Rattus norvegicus: one gene and its partners. Each later gene encodes a partner of the first gene's protein in a complex. Links are inferred from orthologs where the notes say so. Each region holds a gene or a part of one and is shown in the gene's direction. Other genes may lie near its edges. The genes, in order: Bcas2, Ctnnbl1 and Rbm22.

Evidence for each region.
Region 2: Bcas2 (region 1) and Ctnnbl1 share a complex: the UniProt entries of both Homo sapiens proteins name them as parts of the PRP19-CDC5L splicing complex. The link is inferred for Rattus norvegicus from reciprocal best matches to the Homo sapiens genes BCAS2 and CTNNBL1.
Region 3: Bcas2 (region 1) and Rbm22 share a complex: the UniProt entries of both Homo sapiens proteins name them as parts of the postcatalytic spliceosome P complex. The link is inferred for Rattus norvegicus from reciprocal best matches to the Homo sapiens genes BCAS2 and RBM22.

Annotation. Positions count from the first base shown.
Region 1 is NC_086020.1:193,376,913-193,387,149, forward strand, and holds the start of Bcas2 (pre-mRNA-splicing factor SPF27), read left to right. Parts: upstream 1-4,087; 5' UTR 4,088-4,104; coding exon 4,105-4,197; intron 4,198-4,283; coding exon 4,284-4,376; intron 4,377-5,713; coding exon 5,714-5,784; intron 5,785-6,295; coding exon 6,296-6,457; intron 6,458-8,829; coding exon 8,830-8,880; intron 8,881-10,237. Other genes in the region: Dennd2c (DENN domain-containing protein 2C), read left to right, coding at 128-159. UniProt on the Homo sapiens protein: Required for pre-mRNA splicing as component of the activated spliceosome. Component of the PRP19-CDC5L complex that forms an integral part of the spliceosome and is required for activating pre-mRNA splicing.
Region 2 is NC_086021.1:166,802,962-166,813,309, forward strand, and holds the start of Ctnnbl1 (beta-catenin-like protein 1), read left to right. Parts: upstream 1-4,937; 5' UTR 4,938-4,989; coding exon 4,990-5,019; intron 5,020-10,348. UniProt on the Homo sapiens protein: Component of the PRP19-CDC5L complex that forms an integral part of the spliceosome and is required for activating pre-mRNA splicing.
Region 3 is NC_086036.1:56,284,140-56,293,825, forward strand, and holds part of Rbm22 (pre-mRNA-splicing factor RBM22), read left to right. Parts: intron 1-146; coding exon 147-200; intron 201-2,407; coding exon 2,408-2,437; intron 2,438-2,993; coding exon 2,994-3,126; intron 3,127-4,169; coding exon 4,170-4,270; intron 4,271-4,850; coding exon 4,851-5,023; intron 5,024-5,643; coding exon 5,644-5,844; intron 5,845-7,619; coding exon 7,620-7,784; intron 7,785-8,908; coding exon 8,909-8,997; intron 8,998-9,137; coding exon 9,138-9,269; intron 9,270-9,686. UniProt on the Homo sapiens protein: Required for pre-mRNA splicing as component of the activated spliceosome. Involved in the first step of pre-mRNA splicing.

The DNA of each region.
Region 1 (10,237 bases):
AGTCATATACATAATATAAAAGATGACACTTAGCACTTGACAAGGCAGCTAACCCCGAGTGGTTCTGAATGGCTCATGTGTACAAGGGATAAGATGAAGTAAGTTCGAAGACTTTTTCTCTTTCCAGGAAGCAAAATGAGATTTCTTCACAAGAAGTGAAATCTTTGTCTTCATTCTACGCATAACTGAAAGTGCCAAGGACAGTATGTTCCCAAGGATCTGGATGCTTTGAGGAGCCCTGTGATGTCCTTGTGATTGTAAGAGGAGAAAAACTGTCAGAGGGCTCTCCTGTTGCTGCAGACCAACTGGGAACAGTGTGGAACCAGTGCGCGCTGCTCTTCTGATTCGGGGACTGTTTGTCTTTGAGACGGGGTTTGTATATATAGCCCTGACTGTGATGGAACTTGCCACTGTGGAGATCAGGCTGGCCTCAAATCCTGATCTCACAAATCTCAAAGATCTTACAAAGTGTGCTTGCCTCTGCCTCCCAAGCGCTGGGATTAAAGGCATATGCCACCATGCCTGGGCAAGTTACTTTTACTGTGGTGTTTTATCTTTGGTTATTGATGAGCACAAGAAGCTCCACTTTGTGCTTAGTCTATGAAAGTAGTTGTCTTTTACAAGAGAAAGACTGAGAAATACTTGGTGTTGCATTTTCTAAAAACAATGCAAAGATGAGATCAACGAGAGATAAGAATACTGAGAGTTTCAGGTACTAGACACATGGAGGACACCATGGTCACACGATTCTTATTACTGAAGCGTCGGGTTACTTTAAATCCATGGACTGTTTGTGCTTTGAAATTCCAGTACTGTTGCCATTGATAACCCCCTTTTGTCCCATGTCCTATCTTGGAGGATTTCACTCATGTTAGAACTTTAAAAAGCAGACACCATGCAGGGCCCCCCCAGAATACGTGTCCTGCTGGGATAACTTGCTTCTTATATGTCAGCATTATGCTTTATGGAATGGAGCCAATATGAAAATGTCCTTTTAAGGGCATAGCTTCTGTTTATTGAGTTTTGGTGTCTACAATTTGCTGCACTGTGATAATCTACATGTCATCTTATTCAAGCTTTAGATCAGCTTCATGATGTTTTACAAGAAACTGGAGTTCAGAGAGGCTAAGTAATTTGGCCAGTTATATACAAGACAGAACTAAGCCAAACACTTGACTTACGAACACATACAAAGCTGGTTAGTCCTACAGGTGTAAATGAACTGTTTATAGTGATGTTTAAAGTTCTTAGTGGAGCACACCAGAGCTTCCTCTTGGCTCTGATGAGACTCTAAGCTGTGGGTGTCTAGGCAAGGTTTGTTCCTCTGCTGCTGGTGATAGAACCCAGCGCCTTCTGTGCGTTCTGCCACGCTGGTTATTTTTACATCGGTGTGAGTTTCACTTAGTGTTTCCTAAGCCTATACCTCTTCATCAACCAGATGCTGGAAATCTAAAGTCCTAGGGCCTGGGAAAGGGAGTTTGTCAGTGAGGGTGCAGTTTTCATTGAGAGGTGATAGACGTTGTGATAAATGTCAGTTGTTTTCTGTAGCCTTTGCTCATGGCTTTACCTGGCATGGAAAATATTTATTCAGACTTGGAAAGTGTTGTACGTTGTGTTGTACACAACCGACTGTTGTACAGTATTGTTATTGTCACTTATGCAGCTGTATTTGAACGAATCCATTTAAGACTGGTGCTGTGCAATATAGTTCCTAGATGTGGTCCAGGGAAGAGAACTGAGCCTGTCTTTTAAAATGTTAATGCAGCTTACCGAAGTGGAGCCCCTCCCAGACACCTCTCTCATTTGGGCTCTTCTTACTCCAATCCCAATGGAACAGTTCCTAACTGATTGTGTATAAGGTGGGGTAGGAGGGTCTACTGTGGTCAATCATGACTGTCCCTCTGCAGGGAGAGTCTTACCTTCTTACAGTCTAAAGCTGCTTCCTTTCCTTGAGTTTGTTGTACTTTGTTTTTGTAAATGTTGTGAATTCTACATACGTTTGTAAAGAGAATTGTTCAACATTTCTATCAAATGTTTACAGATCTTTTAATGAATAAAGACATTTTAAAAAAAATTCCACAGATCTCTTGGAGAATTTAAGACAAAGCAGCTAAGATGTGTAGTGGCTGCTTTGCTGTGGCAGTGCTAGAACATGGCCAAGCAACGTTAACGAAGAGCGTTCATCCTGCCTACAGTCCAGGGCTAAGAGTTAATTCTGGTGGAGAAGCATGGCGCCAATATGAAGGCAGGAAGGAACAGGGAGAGTTCACATCTTCAAATGGCAACTTGAAAGCAGAGAGCAAAAGTAGCCCATCTCCAGAGACTTCTCCAGCCTAAACTCTACAACAGCGCCACCAGCTGGGGACTGAGTATTCAAATCTCTAACCCCAAGAAGCAGTTCTCACCAAATCCCAACACGTGAAGATACTGCACTTTACATAACCCTATAGACAGCACATTTACACAGTCATAAATTCTCAAATTCATCTTAGACTAACTGGGCTTATAACCGTGACCAACTTTTCCAAAGCTCTTAACAGATAAACCGTGGTTGAATGCACGTTGGATAGCATATGTAGTCTGACAATCGTTTTTGCATTTACCTCTTAGTCTGGAAGATATTTTACAGAGCGTGTGTACTAACTACAGCCTGAGGGGTTGAGAGCCAACGGGGAGTAATATTCTATTACCACAAATCCTAAAGGCAAAGGGATTGGGTTTTATATAGGCTCTAAAGACAAAAATGACAGGATTTTATCATTAATCTTTTTAATCCTGATCACAGCCTCCCCTCCATCCTGTCCTACTCCCTCCCTCTCACCTTTCCTATCCCCATCTCACCCCACCCTTTCTCCTCAGAGAAGGGGAGGCCTCCCGTGAATATCAACCAGCCTTGGTATATCAGGTTGCAGTGGGACTAGGCACATCTCCTATTGAGACTAGATAAAGCAGCCCAGTTGGGGGAAAGGAGTCCAATGGCAGGCAACAGAGTTAGACAACCCCTGCTCCAGCCATTAGAGTCCCACATGAAGACCAAGCTGTACATCTGTTACATATTTGTAGGGGCCTAGGTCTGTCCGTTGTATCTTTGGTTGGTGGATCAGTCCCTGTGAACCCCTACGGGACCAGGTTAGTTGATTCTGTGTTTTCCTGTGGTGTCCTTCCTCCCCCTCTTCCACAAGATTCCTGGAGCTCTGCCTAATGTTTGGCTGTGGATCTTCGCATGTTTCTAACAGCTGTTGAACATCATGAATAGTGTCGGGGTGGGCTCTCTCTTATGGGATGAGTCTCAAGTTGGGCCAGTCATTGCTTGATCATTCCTTCAGTTTCTGGTCAATCTTTATCCTCATACTTTTTATAAGCAGGACAAATTTTGGTTTTGTGGGTGGGTTGGTGTTCCCATCTCTCCATTAGAAGTCTTGCCTGGTTCCAGGAGGTGGCCATTTCAGGTTCCATATCCCCTGTTGCTTCAAGTCTTAGGGTAAACCTCAAGTTTCCCTTTTCCTAGATTTCTAACTTGCTCCAGAGTTGCCCCTGCTTCGTGGCAGAGCTTTTAAAATGAGGCATTTTGTATATATAATACAGTCCTGGGAGGGTTGAGGTGTTTGCAGTGCCAGGGACTGAATTGGTTTTGCCATTGAGCCGCATCCCTCACTCAGGTTGTTAGATCTAAAAATTTGATTGGAAAATAGGCGCAGATTTCTAGTTTCTATAAAAGAACATTCTTAAGGGGCCAGCTGCGAAATGAGGATAAAACAAGGGAGTGCTTAGAAGCCCAGCACCATGGCGAGTTTAAACAATGGAAGGTTAAAGGATGTGGAAATCTATTTCTCCCCTCCAGCCAAGTCCAGCAACCGCCTCTTCCCAAGTCTACCCTACCCACTCCTTCGAAAATAACCCACGCGGTACCCATACAAAGAAAGTCACCCTGGCATGTCAGCATGTGATAACTAATATTAGAGTCTAGCGGCTACAATTACCAACTGCACAGGCGCCGGAAGCGAAAAGCCAGAGGCAGCGTGACGTCATTCCAGGCGCAGGCGCAGAGAATCTAATCGAGCCTGCGCAGACTCAGAAGGCGCTCTTGGAGTACAGTGCCGCGCGATGGCGGGCACGGGCTTGGTAGCGGGGGAGGTGGTAGTGGATGCGCTACCCTACTTTGACCAAGGCTATGAAGCGCCTGGCGTGCGGGAAGCGGTGAGTGCAGGGCATGTGCGGCGGGGCCGCCGGAGGCACGCTGCTGCCCTTTTCTCGCCGCGACCCCGGCCTGTTCTCGTTCTTAGGCTGCGGCCCTGGTGGAGGAGGAAACGCGCAGATACCGACCTACCAAGAACTACCTGAGCTACCTGACAGCCCCAGATTATTCTGCCTTTGAAGTAAGTGTGGTGTCCTGGGCCCAGCACTCTGACCAGGAGGCTTGCGGACTTTGATTTCGGATTGAGAGCTTTAGCTGTGTAAAATGAACGTCACCTTCCAGGCTAACTGGTGCTTGCTGCTCATATTGAGTGCCATATAGGTATCAGTCGGTTCAAACCACCAGATGAGCTTTTCATAGGGTCTGTACTACAATAACCCGCGAATGACTTCATTGGTTTCTGCAGACTTGTTGAAGAGTGCTCCCCACGCCGTGTCTCTGTGTGTGTGTGTGTGTGTGTGTTTTAATATAAGAGTCATAGTATATTTCACAAAAGAACCCTTTATTCTCCAATGTCTATTCAAAAACAGGTATTAGATTTTAATATTTATAATCTTAGGTGCCTGTACTCTTTGCCACCACTGGAGGGAGATTTTTGTACCAAGACTCCGATAGTTAGCAGGTGTATGAATGCCTGAACAAGTACGTCTTAATGGTTATCCTCAAAGTGCAACCAAAACACCATTTAGGCCCTAATCAAGTAAATGTGCGGTGTCGTTTCTAGATTAATGAATTCTGTTAAATTTCAGTCCACACCTGTTCAGAGTTTCTCCCCACCCCCACCCTGCTACACTACGAAGATGTTAAAATACTTTCAGGCTGAAGGAGAAGGAGAAAGACTGCTCCATGTACAGGGATGTGTGATTCTTTCGGATCCAGATCCCAGGTTTTTAAACTGGGTTGTGACTCCTCAGTGGGGGTTTCATAACTGATGTGGGAGCTGCAAGAAATTTGGCAAGAGTAAAAAGTACTAACCCAAAAATTAATTGGAAAAAAATCAAGCCCCAGATCCAAGTGCTGGTCCATGTTACATCATGTGACTTCACAGGTTACGCTGTGTCAGACCGTCATGCAGCACCAGAGACTTCCTGAAATGATTCAAGACTGTTACTTTATGTTGTGAATTATAACGTGACATGGGGCTGGGGTTAAAGTTGTTTTCAGAGTTCCACAACTGATTGCAGAGCATTGAAGACTGCTGATGTAGGGTTAATCCTTGACAGCTGGGCTCTTCTAGGTTCACCTCCTATCGTGCCTAGGTAGAATATGGAATTAAAGAATATGCCTATTTCTTCAGATTCTAGATAGCGTTAACCTCAGAGCAAACTGAGGGGTGTGTGAGGGTGTAGTATAGTGGTCCTGGGTTCAAATATTCGCATCCTTTTTATTTGAGAAGTAATTGAGAGAGGAGAAAAGATTCACTATAATGTATAGTATAAAGTATAAAATATAAGTAAATTACATTCATTATTTTCAACATGATCCTGTCACTAATTCTTTGTGTTGTTTGTGCATCAGACAGACATAATGAGAAATGAGTTTGAAAGACTGGCTGCTCGACAACCAATTGAATTACTCAGCATGAAGCGGTAAGATGAGGCTAAGCTGTGGTAACCGCAGCGCTGCCAGAGGTTGGGAAGAGTGTTTGCTGCTGGGCATAGGACGTGGGAATAGAGAGAACTGTAATCATCATTACTACATTAAAAAAAAAAAATGCTAGCAGATATAATACAGTATTTTTAAGCAACTTTTTAAAAAGCTGATAAGCAGACTTTATGTAAGAAGGGTCATGGTAGACGAACAAGGACAAGGGACATGAGAGTCTCTGTGACTCACAGCTTATTTACCTAGTTTACATTTATGGAAGTAGTTCTTTGTTACAGTATACAACTGTGTTTTTATCTGTCAAGATCAGTTTCCAAACTAACAGGTTTCTTTGTACTGCCTGGCCTACATTGTGTCCTTGGTCTTTTGCACATGCAGGGTCATGGTCAGGGGTTGATACTTTGTGTCTCTGCCTTTATGTAATGGGCATATGTCTGTGGAAAGGGGTGATGAGTCTTTGCGAGATACATTGGTTTATTTGTTATGTAATTTCAGATATGAACTGCCAGCCCCTTCCTCGGGTCAAAAAAATGACATCACTGCGTGGCAAGACTGTGTAAACAATTCTATGGCCCAGCTGGAGCATCAGGCAGTGCGGATTGAGAATCTGGAACTGATGTCACAGCATGGGTGTAACGCCTGGAAAGTGTACAACGAGTAAGAGGCGCTGGGCTCTCTCTTATCCTGTGCCACCCAGGGTGGTATGTGCATGCTTATCATTCCAGCACTTGGCTGGGAAGCTGGGGTGTGGAGGAGGGCCTGCCTGGCTTATATTTTGAGTTTAGTCACCCTAGGCTCACCTAGCAAAACTGCATGTCCAAAATAATAATAGCAGTTGTGCTAGACTTGACTTGGGGCTGTATCAGAACAGAGTGAAAGGCTGCATCTCGAGTCCTGCCTTAGAGTTCACTAATGCTGAGCTCTTTTACGTCCACATAACTCCCACACTCACTGTGCGGTATAAGAAAATGAGCTCTGAGGGTGATCTGCAGAGCACCACTTGATAAAATGCAGTCCTTAACGTGTGGATGCTTAAATAATGGATTCCCATGTTCATGTATCATGGTACTTAAGTCTTGAACACAGAATCAGGGATACCGTACCATTTCTCCTAGGGGAAGTATCTATACACACACACACTCACACACAAACACCTACCTCTCACACATACCTCTTACAACTTTAAACAGTAAGCTGGACGCACAGGAGTATGGCTACATTTGGGGCTAGCCTAGGCACACAGCTTCCCCAAGCCACAAATTTAGTCCCTGTCTTATTAATAGATTAATACCCAACACTTAAATTCTATACTCTGGTGCTCACTGGAGAACTAAAATTAAAGAGTGGAGTGGGCCTTGTGTAGCCTTAGTTGTGGACCAGAAACCCAGATTGTTCACTGCTGTGGACGTGTTTATGAATTCTCACAAATTAGTAAACAGTGGTTTAGGCAAGCCGAGTAGTGTGGAATATGCAAATAATGAGAATCGAAATTGTAAAAGGGTTCTGCTGAGTTGGGCTTACTGATGCCACCAGTTTAGCTCCAGGCTCAGTGAGAGGTCCTTTCTGCTGACAAGCTAGAGAGATGGAGGACAAATCCTCGAATGATGACCGTTAACCAGGTATGGTGCTACATGCCCATATACCTGTAAGCTCGGCACTTGGAAGGCAGAGCCAGGTGGGTGGGTCTGTGTGAGTTCCTAGCCAGCCTGGTCTACGTGGTAGTCACAAAAGAAGAAAGTCATTTTAAAAGGTTGGTAGAACTGGACCTAGTAGAACATTTAATCAAAGCCCTGGGGAAGACCAGAAATCAGTGCCAAACTAGATTGAGACCCTTTCTCAAACAGATTTTATTTAAAAAGAATGGTGGAGTCAGATGATAGCCCAGTGCTGCAGTGCATCAAGCATGCGGTTTGGATTTGATACCTAACACCTACACCCAGATGCATTCTTACATCTGTACAGTTGGATTCTTAAGACAGCAAGGAGACTAGGCACAGTGACACTGTATAAGCTGGCCTACACTATACAGTGACACCTTATAGTTCCCTCAGACAAGAGACCGGCAGTATGGAGAACAAAGGAATATACCGTACAGTCTGGAGAACAGCTTTCTAGTCTGTTTGTCTTTAGCTCACCAACTGTGTGCACGTCACTTGTCTGCCTTTCAGCCAGACAGCACTCTGAACATTCAGAGCATATTTGCCTCCAAACCCAGTAGCTACTTCTCCACAGGAAGCAAATGTTATCAAAAGTAAAGTTTCGAGAAGTTCAAACAGAAACCTCAGAATCAAGCGTGAGAATGACACTCTCCAGTGCAGGATTGGCAGGCCTCGGAAAGAGCAGAGGGTGGGAACTAGAAAGGTACAGCTGTGGGAGGAAAGATCGTTAGAGAAGTCCTGGTGTCCCTGCCAGCACTATACACACTGGGTCTGGAGCCAGCACAGTCAGGCCAGGGTTGCTCAGGGAGACCTGAATGGTGATCATCTGTCATAAGAGAAGGTCGATGTGGTGTGTGACTTCTGTCTTCATAGCAAAAGGAGTCACGACTAGTCTGATGGCACTGTCTTTAGTTCTGCAGCTACTTTAACACAGTCTGAGAGGCAAAGGGATTCCCTGAGTCCAGGAGTTCAAGGCCACCCTGGAGAGCATAGTGGGACACTGTCTCCAAAACAGAGGTCCTAAGAGTTTAAGAAGTAACATCAGGTCAGGCAGTGGTGGTGAACACATTTAATCCCAGCACTTTGGAGGTAGAGGCAGCCTGGTCTACAGAGTGAGTTCCAGGACAGCCAGGGCTGCAGAGAGAAACCCTGTCTTGAAAAACAGAAAAATGATAAGTTACATCATTATCTAAAATCAAACCCAGTAAAGTACTGGATTAAACAAATGTTAATGAATTATCTGATATTCTAGACACAGATCCCCAGATTTTTAGGTTTTTAGCAGAAAAACCTGACTTGGTATAAATAGGCAATTCACTTTTCCTCGGTGTTACCAGATTTCAAGGTGTCTGTGCTCCCTTCCTTCCTTAGAAACCTTGTTCACATGATTGAACATGCACAGAAAGAGCTTCAGAAGTTAAGGTAAGTTGTTTATTTCTATTTGAACAAAATGTAGATGAACCTCTGATAGGGAAAGAAAAACTATTATGTAGTAAAATTCCACTTCTGTTAAGCAGTTTTTAATCATGTATGTTGTTGGTGTGTGTAAAATAGTTACCTTTGAGAAAAATAGAAATTCATAATATTTAAGAGGTAGATATCAAGGAACAGCAAAAATCAAAGCTTGTACCTTTATGACATGTATTGATGAGAAGCTTTGTATGTTGTGGCATGTGTTGAAGGGAAGCTTTGTATGTTGTGGCATGTGTTGAAGGGAAGCTTTGTATGTTGTGACATGTATTGAAGAGAAGTTTTGTATGTTGTGGCATGTGTTGAAGGAAGCTTTGTATGTTGTGGCATGTGTTGAAGGAAGCTTTGTATGTTGTGGCATGTGTTGAAGCTTTGCTGGTTTATGAGAAGTGGGTTAGGAAGATGGACCAGGGGTGTGGAACACAGCTGTAGCCCTGGTGCTTCAGAAACTGTGTCAGGAAGAGTTTGAGCTCACAGCTCAGCTACATGGAGAGAAACTGAAAAACCATCCAGGGGAACATGGTTGTGGTCTGAAGGGTTTGTCCCTGAACATACTTCAGTCAGCAGGGGTCATTGAGCAGTCAACATGGACACCCAAAATTGACTGGGCCTCCAACCAGAGATGCTGCCGCACCTTCATAGTTAGAACATGGAGGAGCCACCCTTGACGAGCCCTCTGCTCAGTAGGGACTGGCAGATTCCAATTGACAGGACCGAGTGGCCAGGTAGTGCCGAGCTTCACATATGCTGTAGTACAGTACTGGGTGTAGTTAGTACAAGTGCAAGACACTGTCTTCAACTTGTGTTTTTGTTTCTAAAGTGGTTTTGGTTTTAGTAAGTAAACCATATAACGAATAGCTATTAATATACTAAGTGATGTTAATAGAATTTACTGTGATATTTTTGATCTACTGTGTCTAGCATCTGGCACTGGGTTTGCTGTACCAAAGTGGAGGAAAAACTAAGCTTGAAACCTGAAAACGTTCTCTACAACTCACAAGTCTGCAAACCTGAGGAGAACACCTTGTGAGTCAGGCAGGACATTAGGATGACACTGCACACATACGCACATAGGAGAAAGAACCTTGAAGGACTCCCACTGTCTCAGTTCATGTCCTCTTGCTAATAATACCACAGGCTCAGTAAGGTGGAAAGAAAAGACCTTCATTTTGACTTACAGTCATGGGAATTCAAGGTTGAAGAACTGGGTCTGCTGACAGTTAGGGACAGATCCCAACATGGTACTTGGAATCACATGACAAGAGGGCTGCGTGTGTGTGTGTGTGTGTGTGTGTGTGTGTGTGTGTGT
Region 2 (10,348 bases), on another chromosome or scaffold:
GGCTATTGTTGAAGCCTAGTTACAGTGGAAGACCCCAGTGTATTGAAGATGTCAGTACCAGTGGATCACCCCAGTGCTACAGAGGGCAGGGCTAGAGAAATGACCCAAGCCCTTTGGAGGAGCCCCAAAGATCATGTGTGGATCGAAAACAATGGAATGAGAGCTGTGAAGCTGAAGTTGGCTTGGGGACCCCAAGATGTAAAGATACCAGAGCTGTGGGATACCTGCTTGGGAAAGCTGCTTAACAGGGAGTGTAAGCAACCCAGGAGAAAGAAGTTTGGATGAATCTCAGAAGAGACTTTGAACTTTGGACTTTTAACATGGTTGAGACTATTATAGACTATAGGGACTTTGGAAATTAGACTAAATATACTTTTTATTATGCTATGGCTAGGTATGGCCCCCATAGACTCATGGGTTTGAACAGCCTATGGGGTCAGGGAGTGGAATGTGATGGTTTGTGTATGTTTGGCCCAGTAAGTGGCACTATTAGAAGGTGTGGCCCTGTTGGAGTAGGTGTGTCACTGTGGGTGTGGGCTTTAATCTTGTCCTAGCTGCCTGGAAGCCAGTCTTCTCCTAGCAGCCTTCAGATGAAGATGTAGAACTCTCACCTCTGGCTTCACCATGCATGCCTGGGCGCTTCCGTAGTCCCACCTTGCTGATAATGGACTGACCTCTGAACCTGTAAGCCAGCCCCAATTAAATGCTGTTCTTTTTAAGTGATGCCTTAAACATGGTGTCTGCTCACAGCAGTATAACCCCAACTGAGACAGGGAGTCAAGTGGAACTGCCTCAGAGCCCAAACTGCTACACCCCAGAGAATGACAACGTGTACCCCGTGTTTCTGCAAGGTGCAGAATGACACTGCTTTTGCGAGGATCCAAGCATATGCCACATCCCCTCTGGGGACCTGCAGTTATTGGAGAACCTGGGAATAGTGCCCTGGGAGGAACAATAATGACAATGACAGGGGCCAGGCTCTCTTTCGAGTGCTTCGGCAATAAAGAACCAGTGCAGAGGATCCCCGGAGAGCACTAACCCGGCACAGACAGAGCAGGTGCACACCTGCAGACAGTTTGGGTCTCCAGGAGCACTGGCCTGAGGTTCTCACGCTGGTGTAGACAAGGGCTGCGAGCCAGTGAGTGTCTACTGACACCCGCGGGGCATGGTGTACGTGCCCGGGATTTTAACCCTGGACAATATTTTTTGTACAAGACCTTTCCCCTCTAACTATATATGTTCCCAGAAGGAAGAGACCTTGTTTTATATAAAAGCACCATGCTAGACTGGAGAGATGGCTCCCTGTGTGAAGCACTTGCCTTGAAAGCCTGAAGACCTGAGTGTGAGACTCCAATGCCTGTGTAAAGCCAGACAGACATGACGGCGTGTGCCCGTATTCCTACCGCTTCGCGCTGAGATGGGAGGTGGGGACAGTAGAATCTCCAGAGGCATGCGCAGCAGCAAACCACAAAGAGAGTCTGTCTCAAAGGTGGTGGGAAGTGAGCGGCAGCACCCGAGGTTGCCCTCTGACATCCACGCATGCGCTATGGCGTCCCTCTCCAGCACGTGTACATGTGAGCTTTATCCTGAGAGCCAAGCGTTGTTCTGGCACTGAGTAGGTTCTTACTAGTTACTTATTACAGAATTGGGTCATGTTATAGAGGAGAGAACTGAAGTCTGGAGATGGGACTTCACTTAGCCCAGCCAGCTGTGGCAGATGGAACATTGGCTAGCCCAAGAGCCAGGGCTGTGTTGGTAGGTGGATTTTTGGAAGAATACGTGACAGCTGTGATTTGTACTATGAATCGATCTCTTCATGACACAATACACCACCGTGAATGTTTCCATGCTGATGCGAATCTGCTAGAAAATTCTCTGAAAATTAACTCTGGGTGACTCAGGGTTTTATTGCTATGAAGACACACCATGGCCATGACCAGAGAGATTCCGTAACCCCGTTCTTCTATCCTTGACTGTAAAGTCAGAACCACGTCGCCAAAGCTGTCAAGTTCTGGTGCTTGCTGGGGCTCAAACCTGGCCCCCTTGTAAAAATGACATCTTCATCAGCTTTCTGTTTTTGATGGCTTCTTTCTTCATTGTCTAAGTTTGGCTGTCCTGAATCTTGATGTGTAGACCAGGCTGGCCTCACACTCAGAGATCCACCTGCTCCTGCCTCTGGAGTGCTGGAATTAAAGGGGTGCACCCTCACACCTAGCTCTCACCTTTTCTTTATCTCATTTTCATAAATTGGAAGCTTGGCTGGGTGGGATCTTGACATGAAGCCATCACTCCCTTTATTCCATTTTTTAAAAAATATGTTTGTCTCCTTGAACAGAGGGTTTAGTTCCACTATACTTGGTGTCCTGTTTCTCTTTGAACAGTCTCTAGGCCACATGCTAACATTCTTCTCCTCTGAAACCTCTTGAGGCAGGCCCCCATAGTTCAAATCACTCCAGGTACCACTGTCTTCCATGTTTCTACCAAGATGGCCCACTAAGCCCCACTGAAAGCATTTAACTACTTTTCTAATCCAAAATCCCAAAGTCTGTGTTCCTCTAAACAAAAGCATGGCCAGTCCTTGGCACCAATTTTTGTTTTATTTAGTGTTTTATTGTTGTGAAGAGATACTATGACCATGGCAAGTCTTATAAAGGAAAACATTCCATTGGGACTGGCTTAATCGTTTTCAGAGGTTTAGTCCATTATGGTTATGGTGGGAAGCATGGCATTGTGCAGGCGGACATGGTGCTGGACAAAGAGCTGAGAGTTCTACATCTGGACCTACATACAGGCAGCAGGAAGTGACAGTGACACACTGGCTAGGCTTGAGCTTCTGAAACCCCAAAACATACTCCCTAGAGATATACCTCTTCAACAAAGCCACACCTCCTCCAACAAGGACACACATGTCCTAGCAGTGCCATTCTCTATGGGCCTACGGGGGGCCATTTTTATTCAAACCACCAGACTGGGTTTTTGCAAATTTGTCTATTTAAGCTGACCGAGGCAAGGCACACACTAGAACACAAGTCTGTTTTTGGCTCAAAAGACTCACTTTTACCCTTATTCTGTCTTGTCTTTCTGGAAGTTACAATCTACACTTAATCAAAAGGGAGGGGTAATACATGCAAATGAACTGTTATAAAGCAGTTTGCACAGGCCACCTGTTGAAAACAGAAACCCAGTCAGAAAACATCCCTGTTTTGACCCTCTCAGCTACTTCCCTAAGTAGACGGTATAAAATGCACTCTCGTTACCAAAGCTCACAAAGCCCATTGTGAAACCTCTACCATGCCCTGTTCTGGGCTTTGAAGATTTGAGGGAGAAGTTGACAAACTCAGCCCCAACTTTTAGAGTTTGCAGTCGAACTAATGAGGCTGTCAATACATAAAATGTCAACTATCAGGTACAAAGTGACGGATTGAGTCTGTGAACAGCAGAGGAAGTGCTCGCAGAGGGAATAATGAGGAGAGGATGCGGCAGTTTGAGGAATAACACGTTTCTCATGTGTAGTTGGAGATAGTTGAATGGGCTTTCTGGGATGGAGTCTGTTGTGATTCCTTACTATTTCAATAACGGGCAAATTCCTTCCCCAGAAACCTCTTTTTATAAAAGTGTGTGTGTGTGTGTGTGTGTGTGTGTGTGTGTGTGTGTGTGTGTGTGTGTGCTTCTGGGTGTAAATGGAGGCCAGAAGAGACCATCGGATCCTCTAGAACTGGAGTTAAAGGCAATTGTGAGCTGTTCAACATGGCTGCTGGGAAGTAAACTGGGTTGTCTAGAGAGCAGTAAGTGCTCCTAAGTGCTGAGCCATTTCTCCAGACTCCCAGACCTTTTTTATACTGTTTGGGTAGACGTGAAGATTATCCAATTGCTACTGGGTCTTGTGCCAATGACAGAAGCTCAGAAAAAACAAACAAACAAACAAACAAACAACAAACACGATATCAACGTTTTCTCAGTCACCAGTAATCTATGCCCAGGTGCCAATTTGTAAGCCAGCACTGTCCAGGGGAAGCATAATGGGAACCCCAAAATGAAATCCATGTAAGCAATTTCAGTATATCTATTAAGTGCACTTAACAAATAAGAAACTCAAATTCATTTCATATTTCCCTTTACCCATAAGTTAAAAAAAAGACACCAGTTCAAGTATGAAAAATCCAGTGTACATTTGATTCACACTTAACCTCTCAATTAGGACTAGCCACACTTCAAGTGCCCAGTAGTCACATGTGATAGGACTAGCCACAGGCGACTATCATATGGGACGCAGGATTTTAAACCTTAGCTCCTCTCTCCCTCCCTCTCTCCCCTCTCCTCCTCTCTCTCTAACCCATGCGAGACAGGGTTTCTCTGTGTAGCCCTGGCTGTCCTGGAACTCGTTTCTGTAGACCAGGTTGGTCTCGAATTCAAGAGATCTGCTCGCTTCTGCTTCTCCAGTACTGGGATCAAAGGCGTACAACACCGCCAACCAGTCAACTCAATTTCTTTTTTTTTTTTTTTTTTTTTTGGTTCTTTTTTTCGGAGCTGGGGACCGAACCCAGGGCCTTGCGCTTCCTAGGCAAGCGCTCTACCACTGAGTTAAATCCCCAGCCCCACAACTCAATTTCTTTATCTGTGAAATGAGGGTGAAATAAGAACAAAAGTGGCAGTCTCTGGAAGACGTGGAAGGTTACCCACGAAACATCAGGCATTCTGCTCTACACTTGGATGACCGCCTAGTTTTTAGGTTTGTTCCCTTAGCATCCTCCCACTTTCCTGCCCCTTCAGGATCCAGGCGGAAGCAGAATAGTCAAACTGCGGCGCGCTTTACGGCAGCGCTTTCTTTTACGGCAGTGTGGCGAGAGCGCCGGCCACGCGCTCTTTTACTCTATTGGTTCTGAGGCCTGGCGCTTTACGGCAGTGTGGCAGGAAAAGCCTCTAAGCGGCCCGTGGTTCGGGAGTAAGTGGAGGCAACCAGGGTACACTGTGCTGATTGGGTCCGGAACCATGGACGTGGGCGAACTTTTAAGCTACCAGGTAGGTGCAGTTGGCAGGGCCGGAGAGCTCCTCATCCTCGTTGGCGTCGCAAGGAAGAGCCCGGTCATCTTGCCTCCTCTCGGTCCCTGGCCCTCACTTCTCATGTCACCCGGGCTTGCATCCTGTCATTGCACTTCACTCCCCTAAGCCCTCGTGGACCCTTTCGACCCCTTCTTTCTCCAGGCCTGAGCCATTTGATCTCTGTTCCCCACCCGGCAGCCCGATTCCCTTCAGCTCCTCTTCGGCCTCATTTCTTCCAATTCATAGCGCTTAAGACAGTTGTGGAGAACACTGCTTTTTATTTCGGTGTCAGTTTCTTTACCAAGAGTCGGTGTAGCTTTGGATAAGTCTTTCTCCCGTCACGGAGTCTCGTTTTTTCTTTTAAAATCTATAAAATGGATATATGTGAAAGGTCATTTGAAAGTGCAGAAACCTGTGGCCATGGTCCCCGCAATTGTTAAGATACTTGGAAAATGAATCATGGAATGGGTCCCTCAGAGACCTCTTGACCTCCTTGCTCAGGGTACTTGTGGGGAACGGGTGACCTAGAGAGAAGAAAGGACTTGCCCGAGGTCACTCAACAGCTACAGACTAGATAAAGTTCAAGTGTCCAGGCTCCCGGCCCAAAGTTTTCGCCCTCTTTTGACTGCCTAACTGCCTAATGAGGTTCCTTGGGTCCAGCCTTGTTTTCACTAGCTGCAATAGCGTCGGAGCTCATACAGGGTAATTAGTCTGAATTAGGAAGTACTGTTTTGTAAATCACACCTCATTCTAAAGACATAGTATGAAAAAAGGTAGTATTTTTATATTGATTACAGAGCCTTGATCATGTTGGTTGAATGAGTATATACGAGACCATCATATGATGGAGCATACTTTGGGTAATGGAAATAAAATACAATTTTAGCCAACCTTGCCCACTTGTGTAGTGTTCAAACTGTGATTGTTTTAAAAGACCAGAGTAGGTGATGAGAAGCTGTGAGCCTGAACTGCTGGCCATGGATGCCTTAATCTCAGTGCCTGAAAGTTGGGAGGCAGAGGCCCCAGGTCACTAAATTCCAGGCCAGCCAGCGATACTTAGTGAAACAACCCCCTGATCCTCCAAAAGCCTGGATTTGGAGCCCCAGGTTGCCTTCAATCTCTTCTTTTTCTTACTGACTGGTTGTAACCTTGAACAGAATACCTCATGCTACCTACCTTGTGTCTGTTGTGAAGAAATTTTTTCTTCTGTTAAGAAATTTACAGTGGGCCAGGTGGTTGTGGCACATACCTTTCATCCCAGCATGCAGAGGCAGAGGCCAGAGCCAGAGGCAGATGGATCTCTCTGAGTCCAAATCCAGCCTGGTCTACAGAGTGAGTTCTAAGACAGCCAGGGCTACCCAGAGAAACTCTGTCCTAAAAACAAAACAAAACAAAACAAAACAAAACAAAATGAAAGAACAACAACAAAAAACTAGCTATGCATAGCAGTTGGTGGCTCACACCTTTAGTCCCAGGATTTGGGAGGAGGCAGAGGCAGGCAGATCTTTCAAGGCCAGCCTGGTCTACAGAGTGAGTTTCAGGACAGCCAGGGTCTCACAGAGAAATCCTGTCCAGAAAACCAAAACCAAAAGAAAAAGAGAAAAAAAAGTGTTAGGCTAGTGTTTGTTGCAGAGTATAATAACAGTCCATAAATACTAATATTGGTAATTATTTCCTTTAGCCAATATATAAACCCTGATCCCATAGATGGAGACTCCAAGCCTGATGAGAAAGAATACATAAGTGTCAGAGAACAGATGCGAGGCCACAATATTTTCCCCTTTAAGACAGTGTAATTGATAATGGAACAAGAAAGGTGGTGGGAAGGTCACTGAAGAATACTCGTTTGGGAGTTCTGGGCTAAATCCATAGTCTAAATCTGTAGAGTCCAGTCCATTGATTCAGAGCTGGAACAGTGCAGCCAGGAGAGGCCCATTTGGCTACAGATACTTGTTGGACATTTACTGTGCACAAGCTACTTGGTCCTTTGAGCATATGATGTGGAAATAAACAAGACAAGGCTCTTGCTTTTGAAAAGGCAAATACAGTGGGGGAGCCGCCAGAGAATATTGAGTAAGCAAATAAGAAACTTAGATGGCCAGAAGTGTTATGAGGGAGTGCGGCAGAATCCGCTGTGGAAATGTGAGCATGTTTGGCGTCTGCTGTGCGCATGACTGTTGGATATCGAAAGAGTGGCCCACCTGCATCAAGTGCTTATGTGTAAAGTACACACTGCGTCTCACAGCTTTATTGGGGAATGATGAACTATCTTAATTTTTAAGGTAGATTACGTTTATACATTGGATTAAGGATAATAGATTTTTAAACTTAAATTTCGTGCCTACTTCTGAGTTTAAACTTCTATGTAAGGTTTGTGACTCTCATTGTATTTCTGTTGGCCAACGCCGCTGTGTATAACTCCTTTCAGGGCCTCTGTAGACTGAGTGGTCAGGGAAGGAGTCTGACGGGCCAGCGTTAGTGCCCTGAAGGTTAAGGAGCCAGCATATGACAGGGCAGAATGATGAAGTCAGGGGCAGAGACTGTGAGCACAGGCTCCAGGACCATTAGACAAGCAGAGAGAAGAGCCATGTAACCCAGCCTTGGTGAGTGAGCAGGACACCAGAAGGTGACACGGCATCTGGAAATATTGGCAGATTACAGTTGAGGTAGGACCTCCTTAAGGGCCAGAAGAAAGCCTTTGCATTTTGAGAGGTGATACAGATGTCTTCATTTAACCCACCTGTTTGTAGCTTAAACAAGAACTCAGATCTGATAGACAGACCTAGCTAACGTTTCAAGCCGGGGCAGTGATTGACAGGCCAAGGCGGTGACTTGACGTGTCTCCAGAATCTTGGTCGTGTATTTGCAACTCTGTTCCTTTCAGCACAGTCTACCTCCATTCCTATCTGAAAAGGTCAGAGTCTAATCTAGAATCTGTAGTCTAAATCTATAGAGTCTAGTCTATAATCAGTCAGACATGGCCGTCCTCCTGTGGGAAATCTTGAGGATGAGACGAGCCTATGGAAGTGGAAGTGCTTTGAAGACAGCGATACTCTTACACAAAATAATTATTTAATTATTTACCTGCCTCTTCTCTAAATCCACATAACAGCTCTTTGAGGAACTAAATTTCTTTTCCCTCTCCTCTCCTCTCCTCTCCTCTCCTCTCCTCTCCTCTCCTCTCCTCTCCTCTCCTCTCCTCTCCCCTCCCTCCCTCCCTCCTCTTTCTTTCTTTCTTTCTTTCTTTCTTTCTTTCCTTCCTTCCTTCCTTCCTTCCTTCCTTTCTTTCTTTCTTTCTTTCTTTCTTTCTTTCTTTCTTTCTTTCTTTCTTTCTTTCTTTCTTTCTTTCTTTCTTTCGTCAGGGTCTTATGTAGAACAGGCTGTCCTCAAACTCACTTTGTAGCCAAGGATGACCCTGAATTTCTGACTCCTTTCCCACCTCTCAAATGCTGGGATTGCAGGTGTCTGTCACCCCACCTGGCTTTGGACAGAACCAGAGCTTAATGAATGCTAGGTGAGCACTCTACCACTGAGCAGGAGGAACCCTCTGAACCCCACAGAGTCTCACTGTGTCACCCTGGGCGGCCTGCAGACCAGGCTAGCCTCAGCCTCACAAAGATTTGCCTGCTTCTTGCCTTTGTCTTTTGGAGTGCTGTGATTACAGGCATGCCAGTATGAGGAGCTGTTTTAATCCCCATTTTACAACGGGAGAAACTGAGATCCTAGCCGGAGAGCACTCAGGCAGTCCTATTCTTAGGTGGAGGTCCTGACTGCTGTGTTGGTCTGTTTGATGTGTGCCAGGGGCAGAACTAATGTGCCTGTAGATACATTGTCAGGTATGGTGGTCCGCACATCCTCCAAAGGGAGATGGTGTGACTACTTCATGCAAAGAGAAACCGAAGCTAGGGAGGCAAGTTTCCTGTCTGTGAAGCTCAGGCAGCCAGGAAGCAGTAGAGCCAGCCCTGAACACCCAGGCATGTTTGCTGCTGTTAAAACAACCTCGAACTGATGTGTAAAAGAAAGCGTAAATTGTAAGCCCTGCTGCGCAGTGTCAACATTGGCAAAACCGACTGTCATGAGCACTGATGCTCGCTCCCTGGGAACAGAAGGGAGCAAAGTTGTCTGGCTAGAGCATTCCCAGCTCAGAAGTTTGCCTCAGTGTTCTGAGAGTTGGGGTTTTGCACATTTGGGGTGATTCTAAAGCTGGTGGTCAGGGACTGTACATGAAGGCACACTGGTCTAGAAGCATCTGCATTCCTTTTAAGCTTGTCCCAGTTGAGGCAGCCCTGGCCTCTCCTGGGCACCGGTCTGCAGGTTTTTCAGCTTAAGCTGTACTTCTTCCCTGCCGCTCAAAACAGAGAGCAAATCACTTAATCTCTCTGGGCCTCAGTTTCCTCATATGCCTAATGAGGGGATTAGGTATGACTCTCTGAGGTCCCTAGTAGCTTTAAAATTTAAATACTAATTATTTAGGCCAAGGGCTCCAGAGAGTCCAGTACCTGAAAAAGCATGATGTAGTAGAAGGGCTTGGGGCTGGAGACCTGGGAGATTTGGGTTCTAATCCAGCCGTTATCAGCACTTATCTGGGTGACTCAGGACAAGTCACTCTCCCTCCCTGCACATCCTTTCTCTTGTCAGTTGTAAAGCGAGGAGTTCAGGCAGTACAACTTGTGGTTCTTTCCATTCCAAAACTCAGGGTCTAAGGTGAGCAAGAAGAAGTCTCATACAGCAATAGGAAGTGTTTATTAAAACTTTAACATTTTTTAGCTTGCTTATTAAATTTCATTTTTGGGGCAAGTCAGTGGGAAGATTGCAATTTTCTGCTGAGATTGGTTCTTTCAGTAATAGGCAGGAGAGCACCTCAGTGTATGCCTTCTACCCTTGACAGATGTTAGCAATTCATTTGAGAAGACAGGAGAATTACAATGTGGACAGGAGGTGGTGGGAAAAGTCTTAAAGAGGAAACCAGTTATGTTCCCAATATGGAAATGCACTTTTTTGATGCCTTCAGGCTTAGACATCTCATCAAGAAGTGTGCCCAGCAGTGGCTCGGGAGAGAAGTTTCTGCTGCCTAGGCGCAGATCTGAACTCCAGGGCACTCTCATTAATACTCATTCCACAGACGTCTGGGGAAAAGTTCTTACCTCTGAAGTTTTGCAATAAAGAATTCGCATTTAGTTCAGATTGGCTTGGTGGGAACGACTGGCTTTGCACCTCCAGAGGAATTCTCTTTGAGACAGATTGAGGTCAGGGACCCTTGGCTTGGATGATATTGCAGACACCCACTCCCCCTGTCGATGTGGGTAAC
Region 3 (9,686 bases), on another chromosome or scaffold:
AGACAGCGTCCCTTCCCGGGCCGCGGCCAGTGCGGGAGGGAGCTGGGGCTCCTGCCAGCCTTGCATCCTTCCCAGCCCCAGGACAGTGACTGAGGGAACAGGGTCTTCGGGACTTGATCTTCAACCAGCTTTTCCATTTTCTCCAGGACTTCCCCATTCTGTGTCAGACGTGTCTTGGAGAAAACCCTTATATACGAATGGTGAGTGCTTTCCTGTGCAGCGGAAGTAAACTGTTCCTTATTTTGTGGTCCTTGCAAGGTAAATGTAAAGAGTTTCTCTTAGCCGTTAGAAGAATTGATGCTCTTTCTAACCCAAAGGGAGGACAACTTGCAAAGTACTGCCCTACCTATTTCCTCTCCTAGATACTGAGCAGTAATCCTGTGACATAGGAGCTGTAACATAACAGCTAATACTTGTTGAGCATCTAACCTAAAAAGTAGGTCTGTTGACAGGCGAGAATATCTTTACGTAGCACTACTTCCTGGCTACTAGTCATGTATCTCTCAGCCACTGTGCCTTGGGGTAGTCTCTCTAGTTTAAGATACACTCCATCTCCTCTCCAAAAAGGGTAAAATAGCGACAGGCATCAATGATTATAGGGTTGTATGTTGTGATCGGCCTCACAGATGCTGACTCTATAGTTTATGGGAACAGAACGTTGGATACGTACCGTCCACCAACCAGCACAGGAGAGTCCAGAGCAGTTACCTTTTGCACAAACTATAGAAAGACTTGTCTCTAGTTATCATCCTACTTGATTTGGTGGCTGGAGACCTTGGGAATTTTGGTTTTCACACCAAAAGAATTTTTAAAATTCATCCCATTAGTTAACAAAGATTAGATGGCATATCCACATCCTAATATAAAAAAAAATCAGTTCTTAATTGACGCTAATTTTTTTTTTTAATAGACATCATTGGGTGTAACATATTCCTAAACCAGCCATGAGTGGTGATGGCTACCTTTAATCCCAACCTTTAGGCAAGTGGATCTCTGTGAGTTCAAGGCCATTCTGGTCTGCAAATCAAGTTCTAGGCCAGCCAGGGTTATGTAATGAGACCTTGTCTTTTTCTTAAAGCACATAGATACCATCCTTCCCCACTGTCTACCTCCTCCAACCCAGCGACCTAGCGAACTCTCATGAGGAGAAGCTGCCGACCACATTGCAAGAGTAGATGCTTTAAAAAGCCATTCCCGCTTCAGGTGCTGCCTGCCATCTCCGGTCTTGGTTTTCCTAGACCAGTCATCAGCTTGGTGGCCAGCTCCCACCAAACACATAGCCAACCAGCCAGGTGATTGGATTGATGTTTAAACAGTTTCCTCAAAGATTAGTCAGCAAGAAACATGTGCTAGAAATTGTGGAAGCTTTCATCTGGAAAACAGAGTAGCCCTTGAAATAGCCACCTTCCAGAACAGATTTCTTCATTCTTATTAATTTTTTTAGGTTAGCATACAAAGGGATGGATTTCATCTTGGCATGTTTCGTATGTACTTCGATTTCAATTCTTTCCCTCTTCCGCTGCCCTGCCCCTTTCTCTCTGCCCCTTCTGCCTCATTTTCTTAGATCCCCCAGTTTACCCTTCTTTCTAACAACACCTGTTTTATTATCCCCACATACAAACTCTTTCTTCCCACTCAGGGTCCCTTTTCTTGGTTCATGATCTACACACATACACAAGTACAATTTAAAATCTAGGTTCAACATATAAGAGAAAATATATGGATTTTTAGTAGGAATTTTAGTTCTTGAAAGTCAGAAGTAAATCTAAGAGTTAAAGCTCCAGGAAGACACTTGGTATTAGATCAAAAGAGAATATGATCTTGTCGGAATATCTCTCTCTTAATTTTATTTCTCTTGCTGTGGTAAAACACCCTGACAAAAACAGCGTAGAAGAGTGGAGTTTCATTTGGCTTACAGTTCACAGACACAGTCCATCATTGTGGGGCAGTCAGGACAACAGGAACTCGAAGTAGCTGGTTACATCACATCCAAGTCAAGACAGAATGAATGCATGTGTACTTGCTAGTGCTAAGCCCCTTCTTCACTTCCAGAGTCCAGGGTCCAGGGTGCAAGCTGTGGGAATGGTGCAGCCCATGATCAGGCTGGGTTTTCCCACGTCAACTAACGTGCACACAGGCTGATGTAGGTAGGCAGTCCATCATGGAGGCTCTTGATTCTAGGTTACGTCAAGTTGACAATTGGATCTGACCCTCACAGCATCCCTTACCGTAGCCCCAACGAAAAGATGAATTAGGTTTGATTTGATTGTCTTTCCAGGGATCTCCACACACATACCATGTTTTGTACTTGGAGGTGGGGAGAAACAGGTACCCGGGTTGGTTTCATTTGTCTGTCTGTCTGTGTGCTTGCTTTCTCTGCCGTAATTCCAGTTCTTTTCTATTTCAGACCAAAGAAAAATATGGAAAAGAATGCAAAGTAAGTATGTCTATTAAGAGTTAATTTTCATTTTCTTTATCCTTTTCTTCCCTGTATTCTACCAAAATGGCTTTGTGTTTACTAAGTTTTGAGGTCCTCCATTCAGAGTTCATGCTCACAGCTTTCATGATATAGTCAATAGCTATGGGAGAAAAGAAAATGGCCATTCCAGTGTTAATTCATAAACAGGTGTCTAAATATGCACCAAACACCACGAGTTTGTGTGCTGAGAGTTTTAGCTGAGGAGGAAGAGGAGGATTGTGGCTGCCACAATATTCTGGAAGAGATATTTCCTGCTTCACTTTCCTTGTTCCCCACGAAACAGACAAGTCAAAATTTAATGTTGTTTGCCTCTAGGTAGGAAGGCTTTGACCTTCTAAATGCATATTTCTATACTATTTTAGCTTTTTAACTTCTAGAAAAAAAAGGAATTAAAGGGGATTGGGTCGGCTGACATGTAAATAGATGATTGCTAAGGCCAGATCTCCATACTTACTCAGTCTGAATTGAGTCCAGGTCAGAACGATTAAGAATCTGTCCCTTGATGTGTGTTCAGATCTGTGCCAGGCCATTCACAGTATTTCGATGGTGCCCTGGGGTCCGCATGCGCTTCAAGAAGACTGAAGTGTGCCAGACCTGCAGTAAATTGAAGAATGTTTGTCAGACCTGCCTGTTAGACCTAGAGTACGGTATGTTTGCCATGTTCATTAGATCTGAGAGTGTGCGGGTGCCCAACAGGGCTTTTCCCAAGAAAAATGCCATAACTAGGCTGCTCTAGAGACCTCCAGAGCAATAGTAGGAACTTCAGGAGCAATTGGAAAGAAACTAGAACTGGCCTATTCACCCATCTCTGTGCCAGTTGGCATTGCTGCTATGACAGTGTTTGTTTGTTTGTTTGTTTGTTTGTTTGTTTGTTTTTCCTGGATCCTTTTGATCGAAAACTTTCCACAGTCCTGAACAAGTTCCTGGGCTAATTATGCTGTGGGCTGTTGGACCAAGTATTGCTTCTATTTCAAAACACTTGCTTCTGTTTTTACTTTTTTATGTAAATGAGGTTTTCCTTTCAGAAAAAGTTACCTACTGGCAAGGGGGGGGAGAGGAAACCTGCTGTGGCTGCATATCATTTTATATCATATATTTGTCAGGAGTTCAGACCTGGAGTACAGTGTTACTAAGCATAACTGTCTGTCCACAGGAATCCAGTCTAACAATAAACCACTCTGTTCTATGTATTTTAGGTATATTGTATTAAAGCTGGATACTTTATTAACTTAATTAGACCCTAAAGTATATTCTTTGAAACAGTTTTCTAAAACACTCACGTCACCGTATTCTATGTCAGCACAGGAATTTGGACAGTTTCTTAGGTAGTCTCCGCAGCAGGTGTTAGCCCGATGGTGCTAAACAGTCTGATTTAAAACATTGTAAACTGTCACAAGTAGGTTGATTATCTGATTTTAAAGATTTATTTTTGTTTTTCATTTGTGTATATGTGGGGGTGGGGTATAGGGCAGAGTCTAGAAGAGAATGTTGGCTCTTCTGGAGCTGGAGTTACAGTGAGCCACCCTGCATGGTTGTAGGGAGCCGCACGTTGGTCCTCCGTAGAGCAGCTCTCTTGATTACTGGAACATCTCTCAAAGACCCACCAACTAGGACCAAGAAGGGAAGAGTGATGTTGTACTTTATGTACATATTGAATATGAATATTAATTCCTCAATTTCTTTGTACCAGGCCTACCCATCCAGGTCCGTGATGCAGGGTTATCATTTAAAGATGACATGCCTAAATCAGATGTCAATAAAGAATATTACACCCAAAATATGGAAAGAGAAGTATGTTTTTTATTTCATTAAAATCTAATTATATCACTTCTCTCCAACCCCTCCTATGTCTTCTCCCTTCAACCCCTCCCATCTATGGCCCTCCCAAAAGATGGCCTCCTTTTCTTTATTAGTGTGCTAGGCATGCTTGCATATGTGTTTGTGTGCATGTGTACTGCGTGCATGTATGCATGCGCATGCATGTGTGTGCTTGATACCTGCTGGGTTCATTTAATGTGGCCTATCTGTATCTGATTTCAAAACCGACCACTTTATACTGGATAACCAGTTAGGGAACTCCTGTCCGGGAGACTAATTCTCAGCAGTCATTAGTTGCCTGTACTTTGTCAGCCTTTGTTTTGGCAGGGACATTGTTGAGATACCATGGGTGTAGCTTCCCTGTCACTTCTATGACTCAGTCTCACACCAGACGTCCTGGTCCTCTGGCTACTGTCTCGATGCCGTTGTGTATCTGGGGGAATGGATTGAGTATACATGCTGCTGGGAACTGAACCCAGGGCCTTGTGATGTAGTTTTGTGTTTGGTAAAATCCTAGTGATTGACGGCTTATAAAGTTGCCTTCTCTGTGCAGATTTCTAACTCTGATGGAACACGGCCAGTCGGAATGCTGGGAAAAGCAACATCCACTAGTGACATGCTACTCAAATTGGCCCGGACCACACCTTACTACAAAAGGAATCGGCCCCACATTTGTTCCTTCTGGGTGAAAGGAGAGTGTAAGAGGGGAGAGGAGTGTCCCTACAGGTAAGGCCGAGCCTCACCTTCAGACTCCTGAGAAGTGGGAGACGCTCGCTTAAACTCAGGCCTCAATGCTAAAGCTCTGTGGTCTGTTCGCAGGAGAGTAGCTCCTGCTTTAAAACATAAGAGCCTGGCTAAATTACCTTTTACTTACAGCTAAGCCTTGGCTACTGAAATTGCTATGTTATATGCTATACGTGCTGACTGTTTCTAAGTAAGTGCTAAGTTTCTATGCTAATTTGGTGTCCATTTAAATGGTGTGAATAGCAAAATGTAGCTGAAGTCAAAGCAAGGCCAGTGGCCTGAAGGCTCCTGCAAGCATCGGTTAGGGGTTTAGCTAATGATTGGTTAACTGTAACACCACCCTGAATACACACCCTTTTTCTGAGGTGAAGTCGGATTCAGCCAGAGCCTAGTAGAGCAGTTTAAGTGGATTGCTTAGAGCATCAGGAAGGCTTGATGTGGTAGAATAACTCCTCTGGTATTTGCTCTTGTGTAGTAACTATTCCTGGTGAGACACTTTTCTAATTTGAAAGGCATTTGAGGGATCCTTACTATGTAGCTACTGCAGAGTGATATTTTTCCCTTTCTTTCACCATGGTGCATTTCCCACTTGCGAATCTTAGACATGAGAAGCCTACCGATCCAGATGACCCTCTTGCTGATCAGAATATAAAAGACCGGTACTATGGAATTAACGACCCTGTGGCTGATAAGCTTCTCAAGCGGGCTTCAACCATGCCTCGTCTTGACCCACCGGAGGATAAGACGATCACCACACTGTATGTGGGTGGTCTGGGAGACACCATCACTGAAACAGACCTCAGGTTTGTGAGCGTCATTTCACAACTCTTTGCTTTTAACTGCCTTTGAGTAAATAGTTTGCAATAATATCACCAGACATACTTCTATTTCTTTATCCAGTCTGTCATTGATATGAATGCCGATTCAAAATTTTATAAATCTCTTTTTTATGATGCCAGAGGAGTTGTATTTTTCAAGAGTGCTTTTTATCTTTGCATCAAAAAATAATATAGGGGTCTAAAGACCCATTTGAATTTTTTTAATTTTTTAGTTACTATAGACTTGTGCAAGTGGCTTCAAGAACCCAAAGAGCTCTAGATCTTGCAGGTGGTTGTGAACCACTCAGCGTGGAAATCAAACTTAGATCCTTGTGAGAGCACTGTGTGCTCTTTACTTCTGAGCCAGCTCTCTCCGTATTGGGCAGGTGGCGGGGGCGGTGGAGGGGTGGGGGGGTTTCTAGCCAGGGTTTTTCTCTGTAGCCCTAGCTGGGCTGTTCTGGGATTCACTCTTGTTAACCATGCTGGCCTCGAACTCACAGAGGTTCTCCTGCCTCTGTCTGCCAAGTGCTGGGAGTAAGGGTGTTGTGCCATCACCGCCAAAGGATGACATACATACACACCTGATTGTTGTGGAGGGCAGAGCGCCCTGCGATTCCAAAACTCTTTGGTTTAAATTGTTGCTTTTTGTATTTCTGGCTTACACTGTGTTTGACTAGAAGAGAGATCTCTTCCAGGGAGATGAACTAACTCTTGCCTTGGTAGCCTTTCTCTTTGAGCTAGCAATCTCCATGGGCCAGCTAGCTTTTATAAAAAGGCTAGAGAAAGCACTTTGGGCCTAGTTGACCTATGTGATCTCTTTGAGCTATTGCTCCCATTTTGTTTTGCTTTGTGACATGTAGTTCCCTGCAGCTCAGGCTAGTGTGGCGAACTCTGAGGACCTAAACTCCTGCCTCTCCTGCCCTCGCCCTCTCCTGCCTCTTCTGCCCCTACCCCCTGGTACTAGAGTTATAGGCAGGAGCCACCAGGTCTCATTTGTAGGATTTGATTTTGATGTATTTATTTACTTATTGTTTATCTTTGTTTATTTTGAGACAGGGTCTTGTCATGTAGACTGTCCTGAAGCTCAAGACCTTCCCCTTTCTCTGGTACTAGAATCTGTGCCTGGGCCACCATACCTGGCTTTCTTCTTGTCTTCCATTTTCTTTCTTCTTTTAGTTTTAAGCTTTTTAAATTTCAGTCAATATTTTGTATTTATTTTCCAGTGCTAGGATTTGAAACCAGGACACATATATTAGGCCAGCGTGCTCTGCCATTGAGCCATTCAGTTTTCAACTCTTAAACATTGTGTTCTTAGGTGGGCGTGATGGTATTTGCTTACAGCCCAGCTAAGGCATGATCACTTGAGTCCATGAAATCAAAACTAACCTGTATAACATAGCAAGGCTTAATCTCAAATGAAAATGGTCTTGGCACTTGGACCGTAACAGCTGTAGTTTGCCAGTGTCTTATACTAGGGTAAGAAACTATGGCTCTGAAGTGACCAATTAAAGGCCCTCCCCTCCTCCCCAAGAAAAACTCCAAGATACATAAGAACTTTTGCCTAATTTTTCCCTTATCTCCAACAAGTAGCACCTACAGTAGGGCAGGTGTGAGAGAGCCTTAAAGACAAGCACCTGTGTGTCCGAGGGGCTCCCCTGTGTGTCCGAGGGGCTAGTGACTCGGAACACTTCCGTAGCCCATTTCTGTTTTCTCAGCACGTCTGGGTTACTAACCTGTTTTCCCGGGCCTGTGCTCTTCAGGAATCATTTCTACCAGTTCGGAGAGATTCGCACAGTCACTGTTGTGCAGAGGCAGCAGTGTGCCTTCATCCAGTTCGCCACCAGGCAAGCTGCCGAGGTGGCTGCCGAGAAGTCTTTCAACAAGCTGATTGTGAACGGCCGACGACTCAATGTCAAATGGGGACGGTATGAACAAGACTCTTCTAAACTGTTCATCTGGGGATGGAAAGCTTTGTTTACATAGGTTTGACAGGGCCTTTACAAATCTTTAGGCCCTTCTCTGGTATTTTTTAAATGACTTCATTTATGTGTGTGGGTGTTTTGCTTACTTGCATGTCTGTACCATTTGTGTGCCTGGTGCCAGGAAAGGGTTTGGATCCCCTGGGACTGGAGTTGCAGATGGTTATGAGCCACCATGTGGGTGCTGAGAATTGAACCAATGTCCTCTGAAAGGGCACCCAGTGCTCTTAACCTCTGAGCTATCCTGCAGCCCCTTCTTTTGTATTTCTTAGTATTTGGAAGCTTCTTCCTTTAGAAATATATTCAAGGTCTTGCTCTAATAACCTGCTCCTTTGGAGTTCTTCATTTTTTAGCAGCCGTTGTAAGGTAAACATGATGTAAGATTGCCAAAGGTAGATATTGGGGGTCACAGTTGAATTAGACCTAAGTGCTCTCCTCAGACTGAGTACTGGGGAGTGGAGGGAAAGGCACTAAAGCAGAAGGAGATCCGTTTTAAGTTTGAAATTGTCCACAAAAGAGAAAAGGCTGTAAATTTTTTTCTTTCTTCTTTTTTTTTTTTAAGGGGGGGTGTGTGTGGTTTGCTTTGGTGTTTTGTTTTGTTTTGTCTTGTTTTTAGAGACAGTTTCTCAGTGTACTCCTGTAACTCAGTCTTAGACCAGCCTGGTCTTGAACTCACAGAGATCCCCCACCTCTACCTCCTGAGTACTGGGAGTAAAGGCTTGCACCACCTAAGTTTCAAAGGGGACTGACTCTGTGTCCATCTTGAAAACAGAGAGGAGCAGGCTGACAACAGTTCCCTTCCTGGGGGGCCTTCTGTCTGCTGAGCACTGCTGCACACATGAGTGCTGCCCTCCCTGGCAGTGACAGTGGTGTTGGTCTGGTTGTTTTCTTCTTTTGTTTTGTTTGAGATCAGGTCTTTCTGTGTTGTCCTGGAACTCAAAGAGATCTGCCTGCCTCTGTCTCCTGATGCTGGGATTAAAGGCATGCACACCCAAGGGAAAGAGGGATGGAACTCTATTTTACTGGGGATGGGACGCAGTGCTGATAATCCTGTGTATATATGTCTCCAGATCCCAAGCAGCCAGAGGAAAAGAAAAAGAGAAGGATGGAACTACAGACTCTGGGATCAAGTTAGAACCTGTACCAGGACTGCCTGGAGGTCAGTTCATGTCAGAGACTCATTCAGCTGGGGTTTCTGTTAGACGATAGCAGGCGTGCCTCTGTGGCCTGTGTGGCAGGCCAAGATGTCTGTGCTAGAGACATCTGCACGTGGTACTGATTGTCCTCCCTTGTCTCCAGCTCTGCCTCCACCTCCTGCCGCAGAAGAGGAAGCGTCTGCCAACTACTTCAACCTGCCCCCAAGTGGGCCTCCAGCCGTAGTGAACATTGCCCTGCCCCCACCCCCTGGGATCGCCCCACCCCCACCCCCAGGTAACTGCCTTTTTCCTTCCTGGCCCTGAGAAGCCCTTGTGAAAGTCCCGCACCTCAGGCCATCTGCCACCAGTCTGCTCTTTGTCAGTTCATCCTAACTGATGAGCTGTTAACCTGTCCACAGCAAGGATGGGAATCAGTAAACCACTGCTGTCGATAGAAACCCTTCCTACAAAATGACATGGGGTAGGTTATGGACGTGAGTGCCTCTTTGGCCTATGCACTCTATCATGTCAGCGGCCACCAGCAAACAGTTCAAGCGATAGCACCGAGTGTGAGTGTGCATGACTGTGAACAATGCAGGAAGTAGTGGGTGGCTAGTGGTCTTCGATATCAAGCCTGTGTCTGTGAAGACAGTCTTTTCATTCTGCAGTCAAGCACAGAGAAAGAAAGGGTCTTGACATTGGCCTGGCTTCC